Linked DNA regions of Pelodiscus sinensis. The protein of the gene in region 3 binds, or shares a complex with, the protein of the main gene of each other region. Links are inferred from orthologs where the notes say so. Each region holds a gene or a part of one and is shown on either strand. Other genes may lie near its edges.

Region 1 (3,744 bases), on a different chromosome or scaffold from region 3:
ATCCTTGCTACTCCTCTGATGCTAGGGGGCGTGAGGCTGGGCTGCAGAGGGGCAGGGGGAGGTGTAGGGCGCTGGGCTCACCTGGGCTGCAGGAGGAGGGTGGTGCCAGGAACCCAGGGCTAGGATCAAGGGGAGGAAGGGACAGGAAATCAGAGCTGGGCTCAGCAGTTTTGCGGGGCTTGGGAGGAGGTGCAGGGAAACGGGGCTCAGCTGGGCCGCGGGGGAGGCATGCAGGGAACCAGTGCGGGGCTCAGCTGGGCTGAGGTGGATGGAGGAAGGCATAGGGAACAGAAGGGCAGCTCAGATGGGCTGCGGGGAACTGGTGCTGCTCTCCCTTGGATTGTGGGGGAGGTGCAGGGAACCAGCGGGGGTGGGCAGCTCAGTTGGGTTGCAAGAGAAGGAGGTGCAAAGAAACCTAGTGGGGAGGGGGGGAACCAGGAGCCCAGAAATGACCTTCCCTGGTCCAAAAAATCCCTCATCTGGGACCGGTCAGGTTTGGGAAACCCTGGTCTAGCCAGCTTGCTATCCATCTTACAGTCCATGTATCCAATCCATATTCCCTTAACTTGCTGGCAAGAATATTGTGGGTGACCATATCAAAAGCTTTGCTAAAGCTGGCACTGGGGGCTTTGGGAGGACCAGAAACAACTTATTTGCATATTTATCATTTGTTTAAAGAGTATGCAAATATGCAAATGAATGTTACCAGCCCTCCAAAAGCTGGTGAATGGCTTTACTGGTCCCCATATCAAAAAGTTTGGGAACCCTCTGGACTAAATAGTTACAAGAGGCTGATAAGAACTTGGAAAAGAAGATGAAAATCCATTCGCTTCGTTTATCTGACCAGACCAGCACACCAGCCCCTGTGTAAACAGCCTTGGATTCGGGATGACTAAGGGAGGTGGTGGAATCTCCCCCTCTGGAGATATTTAAGAACAGGTTAGATAGACATCTGTCAGGGATGGTGTAGACGGAGCTTGATCCTGCCTTGAGGGCGGGGGGCTGGACTCGATGACCTCTCGAGGTCCCTTCCAGTCCTATTATTCTATGATTCTATGAAGTGGTCTCACACTCCAAAAACGCCTTAAGGTCCCGCTGCCCAGTTCCCCACCTCTCGGTCCACCTTAAAGGCAACTCGCTGGAGCACACTAGGCGGACGAGTCCATTTGTCAAAGGGAGGGATGGTTGCTTTTTTTTTTTTTTTTTCTGGGGCAGCTCTAAAGAGCAGCTTGGCCCCTCCGGCCTCGGCTAAACCCAGAGTGGGGGAGGCTGGGCCGCTCTGCAGCGCGCAGCCTATTTTCCAAAGACCCCGGGCAGCTGAAATTGCGTCTGCCAAGTGAGCAACTAACCCACCCCGCCCCCCCCTTTTTTTGGGAGCCGGGCTATTTTTAGCCGCCGCTCTTGCAATATAAAGAATGGTGGAAGTGTTCAATCTGCAGGCAGACGGGCTGCTGCCGCTTTAAGGGGCGCTGGGGCAGGCGGGGATGGTGGAGGGGGTGGCAGGGGCAGCGCTTCCCACGCCCACCCAGGGCAGGGGGCTGCTGTAAGGGAGCGAGGCGCCGCTCGGACCGGTCCTGGGCACGGCCCCGAGGTGAGTGCGATGGAACGCGATCCGGAGCGTAGCCCTCGCTTGCTGCAAGCGCTTCGCATAGTTCCAGCTGGGGGTGCCCTCTGGCAGCGCTTCCCTGCCCCCTGTTGGCAGGGCCAGGGGGCCGAGCCGGCGGGGGGGGCTTTCTACTCAGGCTTCTCCAGGTAGGGGCATGTGGCACGGACCGACCTGTTGTAACCAGGTCCTGTCTGGAGCCCCCGGGGGCTGTTTGAAGCGGGCCATGTACCCTCTGGCTGGCGAGAAGTGGCGCAAGTTGAAGTTCCCCCTAGCAGCTCCCTGGGGGCGGGGGATGAGACTTTCCCCTTTTAAAAGGAGAAGTGAGCCGCGGTTAGACGGGGCTGCTCTTCTTTCGGACACGCCCGCTACTCTCCAGCTCCAACTCTGCTGTAGCATGTGGCGCGTCTCCCTCCTTGTCTGTGCCCCCCTGGCAAGATGTGGTTCCTAGTGACACTTTGCCCTGGATCCGCTGTGAGCCACGTTTCATAGACTCCTCCATGGAGAGGAGACCCCTTTCTCTCTTTCTATGGCTCAGTGTCAGAAAGAAAGGGGCAAAATGCAGGACAATGTAGCACTTTAAAGACTAACAAGATGGTTTATTAGATGATGAGCTTTCGTGGGCCAGACCCACTTCCTCAGATCAAATAGTGGAAGAAAGAAAGGGTTTATGCACAGGGGTGATTTTGGAGGAAAAAGCTTCCTCATCTTAAAAAATATTTCAGGGGTGCAGGATCTGGGGGTGGCAGCAGCCCCGATTTGAAATGGTTTTACAGGATGTACAGTTTTGTTCCATAGCTTTCGACAGCCCCACTACGCAAATTGCTTCAATGCCGCTGAAATATGTGCGATCTTCATTTTTCCACGGACGTGATAATTTTTAATAAAAAGTGATACGCCCAGTGGGTCTGATTGAATTTTCTGTATAGATAAAACTAGTGCCCAAAGTGAAGAGGGATGGTTGGGGGAAGAGATGCTTAGTGATAATGTGTAAATAAAATACCTTCTTTTAAAGTGTCTGACTCTCACAAAGACACCAGGCTTATATTTTTCAAAGATGCTTAATTATCATTTACTTTAATGTGATGTTGGTATCCAGTTCCCTGATATTCCCCACCTCATAGTTTTGCATTGAGCTAGTTTTGGACTACAGGATATTGTTGCTAACTGTCTGGGAAGCGGAGCCTTTCATTTTGTATTTTGGTTCTAGAGCCAGGAGTCGTTTCCTAGGACTCTAAATGAAATTTGTCGGCACAGAAGCTTCTTTATTAGAGTTAATGGAAAAATTATCAAAAAACAATGCCAAATGTATTTAATAATGCAAACTAATTGGCTTTAACTCCTATTTGCGGAGACAAAGTACTAGAAATCTGAGATGACTCTGAAAACTCCCTAGCTATTTGAATTTGTGACCACTGGTGCTGTGAATTAGTAATGTTACTTGGTGCGTCTTTCCATCCCGAGATCTCAAAGCACTTTGCAAAAAGTAGCAAATCCCTGTTTTACAGGCTGAGCAACTGAAGCACCGAGAAGTTAACTGACCATCCCACAATGACGCAAGATACAGTCAAGTGCTGGGATTAGAACCCACACTGGATGCCTCTCTGTCCTGTGCTCTACTCAGGAGATCATGCGGTGCAGGAGAATCAGTCTGATTTATTTAGCATATCGTTGACTGCTATCATTTTATATATACATTTATAACCGTTCCAGGGTGAACGATGGAAACTTTGGACTGTAAGCTTCAGGGGACAGAGACTGTCTTTGTAGTCACATTGAGACCAGTGTTTCCTGTAAGTTGTGCGCTTTTGTGGCTGCTCAGGAGAAATTCAGATGCCGTCCAGCTGATTAGCAGAGCACCCACAGATGTTGTGTCTCTATCGGTGCACAACTGCAAATGTCTCGGTGCACATTAAAAAATTATTCCGCACATAGATGGAAAAGATTAAAGGGAGCAATGGTTGAGAGGCCTGAAGGTATGGCTGAAATGTAAATATATAACACTAACCACGGAGCATTGCTGAGTGTGAAGTAAGCTGGCCAAAATTTCCAACATTGGTTCCCTAACATCAAGTATCTAAGTATAAAAATCTAGGCCATTTGCTTTAGGGATCTCACTTAAGGTTACAGTTTTAAGGCCA
Region 2 (3,744 bases), on a different chromosome or scaffold from region 3:
CCTAACTAGGCTCCTCCCCCTCAACACCTCCCCCTCAAACCCCGCCCCTAACTAGGCTCCTCCCCCTCAACACCTACCCCTCAAACCCCGCCCCTAACTAGGCTCCTCCCCCACCTTAACCCCCCCTCGCATTCCCTCCCGCTTCCAACGTCTCCTCTCCCTCGCGCACCCCCCCTATTAGTTCCCCTCCCCCACCTCTTCTCAGGGTCCCCATGCCCCCCCCAAAACGTCCTCCCCCACCATGCAAGCTCCGGAGTCCCCCCGCCCTCTTCTCCTCAGAGCCCCTTGCCCCCTCACCTTCCCATTCTTGGGGGTGCCATTGACGAACAGGGTGACCCGCCTCATGCTCCTACGATGCTTCTAAACCCGGAAACCAGCAGCGGTGACTGACAAGGCCGGGACCCAACCAGAGCCGCACTTCCCCCTCCTCTTGCCCAATAGAATGCAGAGGTGGGAGGGACGTTCATTGGTGCAGGTGTGTGGAGGTTAGGCAGGGAGAATTGACAGGGGGCGGTCTGCCTCGGGGGGGGGCGGGGTCTCGGTTGTAGCCAATCAGAACTCTTACAGTCAGGCAGCTTGAAAAGAGTAGGGCGTCACCCTTCACGGCCAAATGGCATGAGGCGTATTTGCATAAAAGGGGGGTCGACTCACTCCCCGCCTTCTGATTGGCTCGTGTATGTCACGTGAGGGAAGGACCGGCCGTTTGATGGGCTCTATTTCAAAACTAAGAACTCTCCAATCGCGACGAAGCTCTGTTCCCTGCGCGCTGCCGGGACTCGCTGCAGGGAAAAGAGTCCCGTGTCGCTGAGCCGCCGGCAGAGACTGAGCACCTAAGTCTGCCAGCGACAGCCTTCTTCTTTGCCCCTTCCATGAGGCGGATGGCACATGCGCAGATTGGTGGGGCTAGCAGGGGAGGCGCCTCAGCGCTGGCCCAGCCTGCGGAGGGATACGCACGTGCATGGAGGAGGCAGTGAGTTTGAATGTTAGAGGCGCGTCTAGCCTAGTGGAGTTTCCTCAGTCGGATCGTTCGGGATCCAGGAGCCGCTGGGGGTGAGGGGGGAGCGGAAGCAGGGGGAGGGGCGGGGGAGGCTAATGAGGGGGGCAGGGGGCGGGGGAGGCTAATGAGGGGGGTGGGGGGCGGGGGAGGCTAATGAGGGGGGCAGGGGGCGGGGGCGGGGGAGGCTGAGGGGGGGCGGGGGTGGGGTGGGGGAGGCTAATGAGGGGAGCAGATAATGGGGTGGGGGAGGCTAATGAGGGGGGGCGGGGGTGGGGGAGGCTAATGAGGGGGAGCAGATAACGGGGGTGAGGGAGGCTAATGAGGGGGGCAGGGGGCGGGGGAGGCTAATGAGGGGGAGCGGGGGTGGGGGAGGCTAATGAGGGGAGCAGATAATGGGGTGGGGGAGGCTAATGAGGGGGGGCGGGGGTGGGGGAGGCTAATGAGGGGGAGCAGATAACGGGGGTGAGGGAGGCTAATGAGGGGGGGCGGGGGTGGGGGAGGCTAATGAGGGGGAGCGGGGGTGGGGGAGGCTAATGAGGGGGAGCGGGGGTGGGGGAGGCTAATGAGGGGGGCAGGTATGATAGGAGTTGAGGAAATGCCCATGGAAACAACTGGTTGGAGAATGGGCTGGGGAGGGAGGAAGTTGCTGGCTGGGTGGATATTGCTTGATAGACCCTTGGGCACAGGGGCTCTTCTCTGCTGCCCCTCCTGGAGCTGTGTTGGCCCCTGTTACCGGGTTTCTTTTTGTCATGTGCTACATGCCCCTGTGATCCCCTTGAGAATATGTGGAATATGCTCCCTTTTCTCTTTGTGCGCGCCCCCCCCCTCCCTTCAAGCTGCATCCCCTTGGATGGGGGTCAAGAATGTGCAGCAGTGAGCAGCAGCTGTGACTCGGCATGCTTGCCCAACAAAATTTCCCGTCTTCTTTTCTACCCATTGCCCTCACTCTCCATTTCACCTTGTTGCCCAGTTGAATGACAGGCTTTCTGTACCACCAAGTGCTCCCAATCTATGGTCACATTTTAGTATGATAAAGGGAACAATGAAACAACTAAAAGTAGATAACCTGGGCCTCCCATTCATATATGTCAAACAATGCCACATGCACAGCATGGTATAACAGGCTTTTCCCCCTTCTTAAAACACCTGTTATTTTAAAGGATCAACTTACTCTTAATACTCTGTTCCATCTGCCAACTGGTGTTGAGCTTTTCAAAGCAGGAAGGCCCACTTTGATATTGAATAAACCTGCAGCATCATGTTGTTACAATGTTCTTTTAATAACATTTTGTCACAGCCTGACACACTTAGTTAAGCATTGTGATGCTCAGGTGCAAGACTTGTGCTTATACTGCTTTGAATTTTGGGCATGAATTTCTGTTTAACTTTTCACTATCCTATTTGCCATACTTAGATAACATCTTTTTATTTAAATGAACAAACTGATTTATCCTGTTGTGCTCTAGATGATCATTATCTCAGAAGCTGGATATTTCTTTAATGAAAGTGAGTACTGGCTTGTGCATTTTTAAAAAAACAACAAATGATATGGTAGCACTTTATAGACTAGCAAAACATGTAGATGGTGGTATTAGATTTCGTGAGGTGGTGATTTGGAAATCTCCACCGTAATGTTGAATTAGCTTAGATGGTTTTTGTGTTTAATATAGACATCAACATACGTCAGAATGTTATGCATATAAGATCTGATATTTACAGTAAACTTCATAGCTAACATTTCATGCTTCTCTCCATAGAATGGCAGCAGTATCTTCTAATGGCTTGATGTCTGCATGTTATGGTGATTGCTTTTACAAAAAAACATAATGACGACGTCTTAATGACAGACGCATGATTACAAGAGAGCAACAAGACTGGTCATATTTTTTTAAGCTCAGAAAACAGCACTGACAATGCGCAGAAAATCTAGACAAATTATAAATACTGTTGCTGATGTCAAAGAAAATTTGAAAGGACTTATTGAAGAAGAGAAGGTTTATTCTCTGCCCATTCCAAAAGACAAGTTTGTCAAAATGGATGAATCAAAAAGCTCATACCTTTCAGAAATTGAAAATTTAAATGACCTGAGATCTACACATGTATTTAAACCTGGAGTAAAATGCAACGAATACATAAGGAGAAAATCATATCAGAACAGCAAGGATGATAGTAAACTGGCAGTAAACAAAAGCCTTTCTTTTAAACTAAAGGGAAACTTACTTCAACCTTCCTTGTCCTTTTTGACAGCACACAAACCTCAAAGTCCTTTTTCAAAAGGCAGCCCTACATTCTTGGATGATGCAAGCTATGTGACACCTGATAAAGGTGAAGCAGATGTAAAACCAGATTGTGAAACATCAGAGAATGTAATGAAGACACCTGTTGATTTTGCAAGTGTAACTATAGCTGAATTTGGGATTACTCCAGAGTCTTTTACTGCTAAGCCATCTATAGGTAAGGGGTTAGCAAAGTGACTCTTGGAATGAATGTTTCAAAATACTGTGGTTCATTTGTGAATGAGAACATTCTCTTAAATATTTAATGGTGGTTGTGAATGGTGGTCCAGAAGATTTCAGGGCATTTGGGACAATTTCTGATAACACAGATATAGGTTTTATAAGTAGTGATTTGGAAATAGTACAGGAGATGGAAATTGTGAAGAATTGTCCAACATTCATTATAGCTGGTGTATAGAGTAATTTGCTATTAAACATGTGTTTTCTTGGGGAGAGGGGAAATACTATGAC
Region 3 (3,744 bases):
TATGGATCTGAGACCTGGGCTACCTACTCGTGCCAAGAGAAAAAATTGATTAGTTTCCACCTTTGCTGCCTTTGCGGAATCATGAATATTAAGTGGCAAGACAAAGTTTCAGATGTAGATGACCTATCAAGACTTGGCATATCCAGTCTCATAGCGATCCTTAACAACAGAAGACTCTGATGGCTTGGCCATCATATATATAGTAGCCCAGTGTCTGTGCGTCTGTAACGCTGACGTACACAGCCACGCTCCCTGGCCGTGTATGTCAGCACCCTGCCCCCCTTTCCCTCCCTCCGTGGCGCGCTGCGCCACTCAGCTGGGTCCCGGCAGGGGAGCAAGCGGCAGCAAGCAGCCGTTTGGGGTCCGTGCTCTCATGGGGAACTCCGTGGGGAGCACAGACCCCAAACGGCCGCTTACCGCCACTTGCTCCCCCACCAGGGCACAGCTCCCAGCTGAGCGCACCAGGGAGGGAGGGGAAGGGGGCGGGGCTGGATGGAAGGGGGGCAGGAAGCAGAGCTGGGGGGGGATAGGGGGCTGTGGGGTTGAAGGAGAGGATGGGGGGGCGGAGGAAGGGGGGCGGGAAGCAGTGCTGGCAGGGGGTGGTGTCCGGGGGCCGTGGGGCTGGCCAGCAGGAAGAGGGGGTGGTAAGCAGAGCTGGGGAGGATTGGGGGCTGTGGGGCTGGACAGGAGGAGTGGGGGACGGAGGAAGGGGGGGGCAGGAAGCAAAGACCTGGCGAGGGTGGGTGCAGCCACTGGCCGCAGCCAGACTCCTTCTGGCTGTGCCCCCGGCAGGCAGACCAGAAGCTCCCAGTTTGGAGACGGCCACAATTGGCACTTGAAGCCTCTGGTCCTGTGCAATAGCTGGGAGGGGGGGCGTGACCACAGGGCTCCCAAAGCCAATTGTGCACCGCCTCTCAGTCACTCCCCCCGCCCCTGCCAGGCTTCCCTCCCGCACCCAGCCGGAAATTCACAAAATACTGGACATTGCACAACTCTGGTATTTTCTGATTTTTTTTCTACTGGACAGATGGTGCAAATACTAGAAGTGAGTCTGGCTCACAAAAGCTCATCACCTAATAAACCATCTTATTAGTCTTTAAAGTGCTGCACAGTCCTGTTTCATGGATTGTTATAGTTATGGGTTGTCCCTTATTCTCGATTGTACTGCTCACGCAGGGGGGATACTGGGCTTGCTCTGACTGACTGGGGCCAAGGCGCACGTGGAGGGAACCTGCGGCCGGCCCCCTCGAACACTCCATCGCTTTGCAACGGCGCGCGCACCTGCCGGCTTCCAAGCTATTCCCCTGCTCCCGCTCCCGCCCCCTCCCGGCGGAAGGATCTCGTGAGTGCTAGACGCTGGGTGAAGCGAACCCGCTCTTCCTAGCAAAGGTTCCGGCCGCCGCGCGGCGACCATTAAGTATTCGTGCGCCGGCCGAGCTTCTTGAGAAGGGACGGCGGCCATTTTGTTCGGCTTCGGGTGTCTGCTGCGAGGGGCCGGCCAGAGGCGGGAGATTCGGGTGCGGGCGCTGCGGTGCCGCTGGGAGGCCATGGCGGACATTGACAAGCTCAACATCGACAGCATCATCCAACGGCTGCTGGAGGGTGAGGAAGCGGGCGGGCCCGGGGGGGGGGGCGGTTCCAGGAGGGAAGCGCTCGGCTGCAGAGGGAGGCTCGCGGGGATGCCGGGGGGGGCGGCCCGGGCGGGGAGGGGGCCTGTGGCCTGAGCCCGCTGCTCGGCCCCCCTCGAGCAGCGTCCGCGGGGCTTTGCCGTGCCCCGGTGACCGGCCCTTCGCCTGCGTGGAGGTTCCCCGCACCGCGCCTGCCGGGCTGCAACGCCGCTGCCTCGGCTGGAGCTGCTGCCTGCAGCGGGTCCCCCCCCACCCGCGCGTGGCAACCGTAGGGCGATTGGGGGGGGGGTGAGGCAGCTACTTGTCCAGGGTCCTGTCTCCCGCTCCCTGCCGCGCACGTGCCGAGTGAAGGGACGCTTGGCTGTGCGTGGAAATGCAACTCCTCGAAAGGTCAGAGGCCGAGCATGTTGTGGGAGGCTTTAGAAAGATGGGGGGGAGGGGGAAGTGTCCTGCTTTTTGGCCCTTCAGGTGGGTCTCGTCTGTAATTGAGCCAGAGTAACTCGTTATCTGTGGGAATGCAGGTCTCGGTGGGTGTAAGAATAGGAGTTTTAGTTCATCCACACTCGTTTTTGACTTTTTTTTTTTTTAAGTGGAAGGGGGTGGTTTTGCTCTGAGGATAAGGTCCTTCTAAGCTTATGGAAAAGATTTGTCTTATTGTCTATCTGTAATGCTTTGGAGTGGGAGAGGATAGGTAGGTGCACTCAGTGTCTAGTCTTTTGTCATGGGGTTTTATTGTTTTTCTGTTTGGACGGAATCAGGTTAAAATAGTTTTATTGATCTTTGCAAATAGCCAATGACATTCTCCTTGGAGCAGGTAGCAAAATTAAATAAGAATAGGGTTTATCCAGCTTGTCTCAGGACCTTCTATGTACTCCGATGTCTCATCTGAATTTACCCTGGAAGAGCTTGTTCAGGATTTTTTTTCCCTCCCATTTAGCGCAAAGTAACCTAGGATTCTGCTGAACCAGATATTAGAGAAATGACTTTCATCTTTTTTTTTCCCTTGTAAGGTTTTTTGAACATATTGGATAATGAAAGGCCAGGAGAAAGTATCATCGTTATCCCTACAGAAATTAAGATTTACAAATCTAGTGGATTTGATTTGGGATTGTGCCAAATATATATGTACAGAGAGAGCATATTGTGTCTTGGTTTTTCCTCTTTGTGCTACTGTTTAGGTGTAAAATATATATACACCTAAACAGTTTATATATATATATAAATAAATAAAGGTTTGGATGTGTCTGCAATGGGATTGTTTCTCAGAAAACATTCAGAAAAGACAAAATCACCGGGAAAGTGAAAGGGACCTGCACTCTTCTCCCCCCTCCCCCAAACTGCCCAAGCCCCAGCCACCCCAGATACCCTTTAGAGAGGGCAGGGGGGGTTAACCCCCCCCCCCCCAAACTTGCACAGGAATATTGCTGGCTATTCCCCTTCCTCAGGGAGTGGGGAAAGTGCACAGTTTGCTGCATTGTTCACTCTGGCTGTGGAGTACAGGGGGGCAGACTAACCTGGACCTGCCCTAGCCAACTGGATATATACCCCTCTTCTGGCTGTGCCCGCTGGAGCAGTCATGAAGAGGTGCTTTTCATCTGACCCCCAAGCTGCTGCACTTCCTCTCCCCCCCCCCCCCCCATACACACACACACACACAGCCAGGGCAGTCTGCATACTGACTGCCTCGTTCCCAGCCCACCCAGAGCAGTGATTTAAATGAAGAAAAAACAAAAATTGACTTAAGGACTCAATTAACATTGGGTAAATCTTCTAGTATACTATATATGACTTGAGATTTTTTTTTTTAAGTTGGTTGGGAATGTGACAGCTGCCACCTTTAAATGCTACATAAATAGGACTTTAAAGGACTCACTAACAAGATACTCACAGGATGTCTGTCACTGTACTTAGAACTACAAATTAGCAGTAGTAACTAATGTGGCATTTAATTGATGCAAAAGCTTTTACAGTGAAATTTTACATAAAAATCCTCTTGAATTTCTTGATTTTAATTTGTTTGGGCAGGTATTTTCTAGCTTTAAATCATTTGATGCTAGTTAAACATCCTAACAACTGTTGTTCCTACTTCATGTGTTCCTCCCTTTTGTGTTTGAGA

Evidence for each region.
Region 1: the proteins of PPP1CC (region 3) and MRAS are in contact, whole or in part, in a cryo-EM structure (PDB 7SD0), measured with the Homo sapiens proteins. The link is inferred for Pelodiscus sinensis from reciprocal best matches to the Homo sapiens genes PPP1CC and MRAS. Residues at the interface, in NP_002701.1 of Homo sapiens: Pro178, Asp179, Gln181, Gln185, Arg188, Ile189, Met190, Thr193, Asp194, Pro196, Gln198, Leu201, Trp216; in NP_001078518.1 of Homo sapiens: Ala5, Ile31, Gln35, Lys36, Ile37, Val39, Asp41, Glu47, Asp48, Ser49, Leu51, Lys52, His53.
Region 2: the proteins of PPP1CC (region 3) and CDCA2 are in contact, whole or in part, in a crystal structure (PDB 5INB), measured with the Homo sapiens proteins. The link is inferred for Pelodiscus sinensis from reciprocal best matches to the Homo sapiens genes PPP1CC and CDCA2. Residues at the interface, in NP_002701.1 of Homo sapiens: Arg20, Gly21, Ser22, Pro24, Lys60, Tyr70, Asp71, Leu73, Arg74, Glu77, Tyr78, Asp166, Lys168, Ile169, Asp242, Leu243, Tyr255, Phe257, Arg261, Pro270, Asn271, Ser284, Asp286, Glu287, Thr288, Leu289, Met290, Cys291, Ser292, Phe293; in NP_689775.2 of Homo sapiens: Lys391, Arg392, Val393, Thr394, Phe395, Gly396, Asp398, Leu399, Ser400, Pro401, Glu402, Val403, Phe404, Asp405, Glu406, Ser407, Leu408, Pro409, Ala410, Asn411, Pro413, Leu414, Gly417, Gly418, Thr419, Pro420, Val421, Cys422.

The regions. Positions count from the first base shown.
Region 1 is NC_134717.1:6,282,887-6,286,630, forward strand, and holds the start of MRAS (ras-related protein M-Ras), read left to right. Parts: upstream 1-1,231; 5' UTR 1,232-1,336; intron 1,337-1,416; exon of another isoform or gene 1,417-1,591; intron 1,592-3,744. UniProt on the Homo sapiens protein: Signal transducer in the Ras-MAPK signaling pathway that regulates cell proliferation and survival. Core component of the SHOC2-MRAS-PP1c (SMP) holophosphatase complex that regulates the MAPK pathway activation.
Region 2 is NC_134738.1:9,384,360-9,388,103, reverse strand, and holds the start of CDCA2 (cell division cycle-associated protein 2), read left to right. Parts: upstream 1-799; 5' UTR 800-970; exon of another isoform or gene 971-1,050; intron 1,051-1,650; exon of another isoform or gene 1,651-2,463; 5' UTR 2,464-2,503; intron 2,504-2,754; 5' UTR 2,755-2,910; coding exon 2,911-3,451; intron 3,452-3,744. Other genes in the region: BTB/POZ domain-containing protein KCTD9, read right to left, coding at 298-345. UniProt on the Homo sapiens protein: Regulator of chromosome structure during mitosis required for condensin-depleted chromosomes to retain their compact architecture through anaphase.
Region 3 is NC_134725.1:34,181,480-34,185,223, reverse strand, and holds the start of PPP1CC (serine/threonine-protein phosphatase PP1-gamma catalytic subunit), read left to right. Parts: upstream 1-1,418; 5' UTR 1,419-1,547; coding exon 1,548-1,602; intron 1,603-3,744. UniProt on the Homo sapiens protein: Protein phosphatase that associates with over 200 regulatory proteins to form highly specific holoenzymes which dephosphorylate hundreds of biological targets.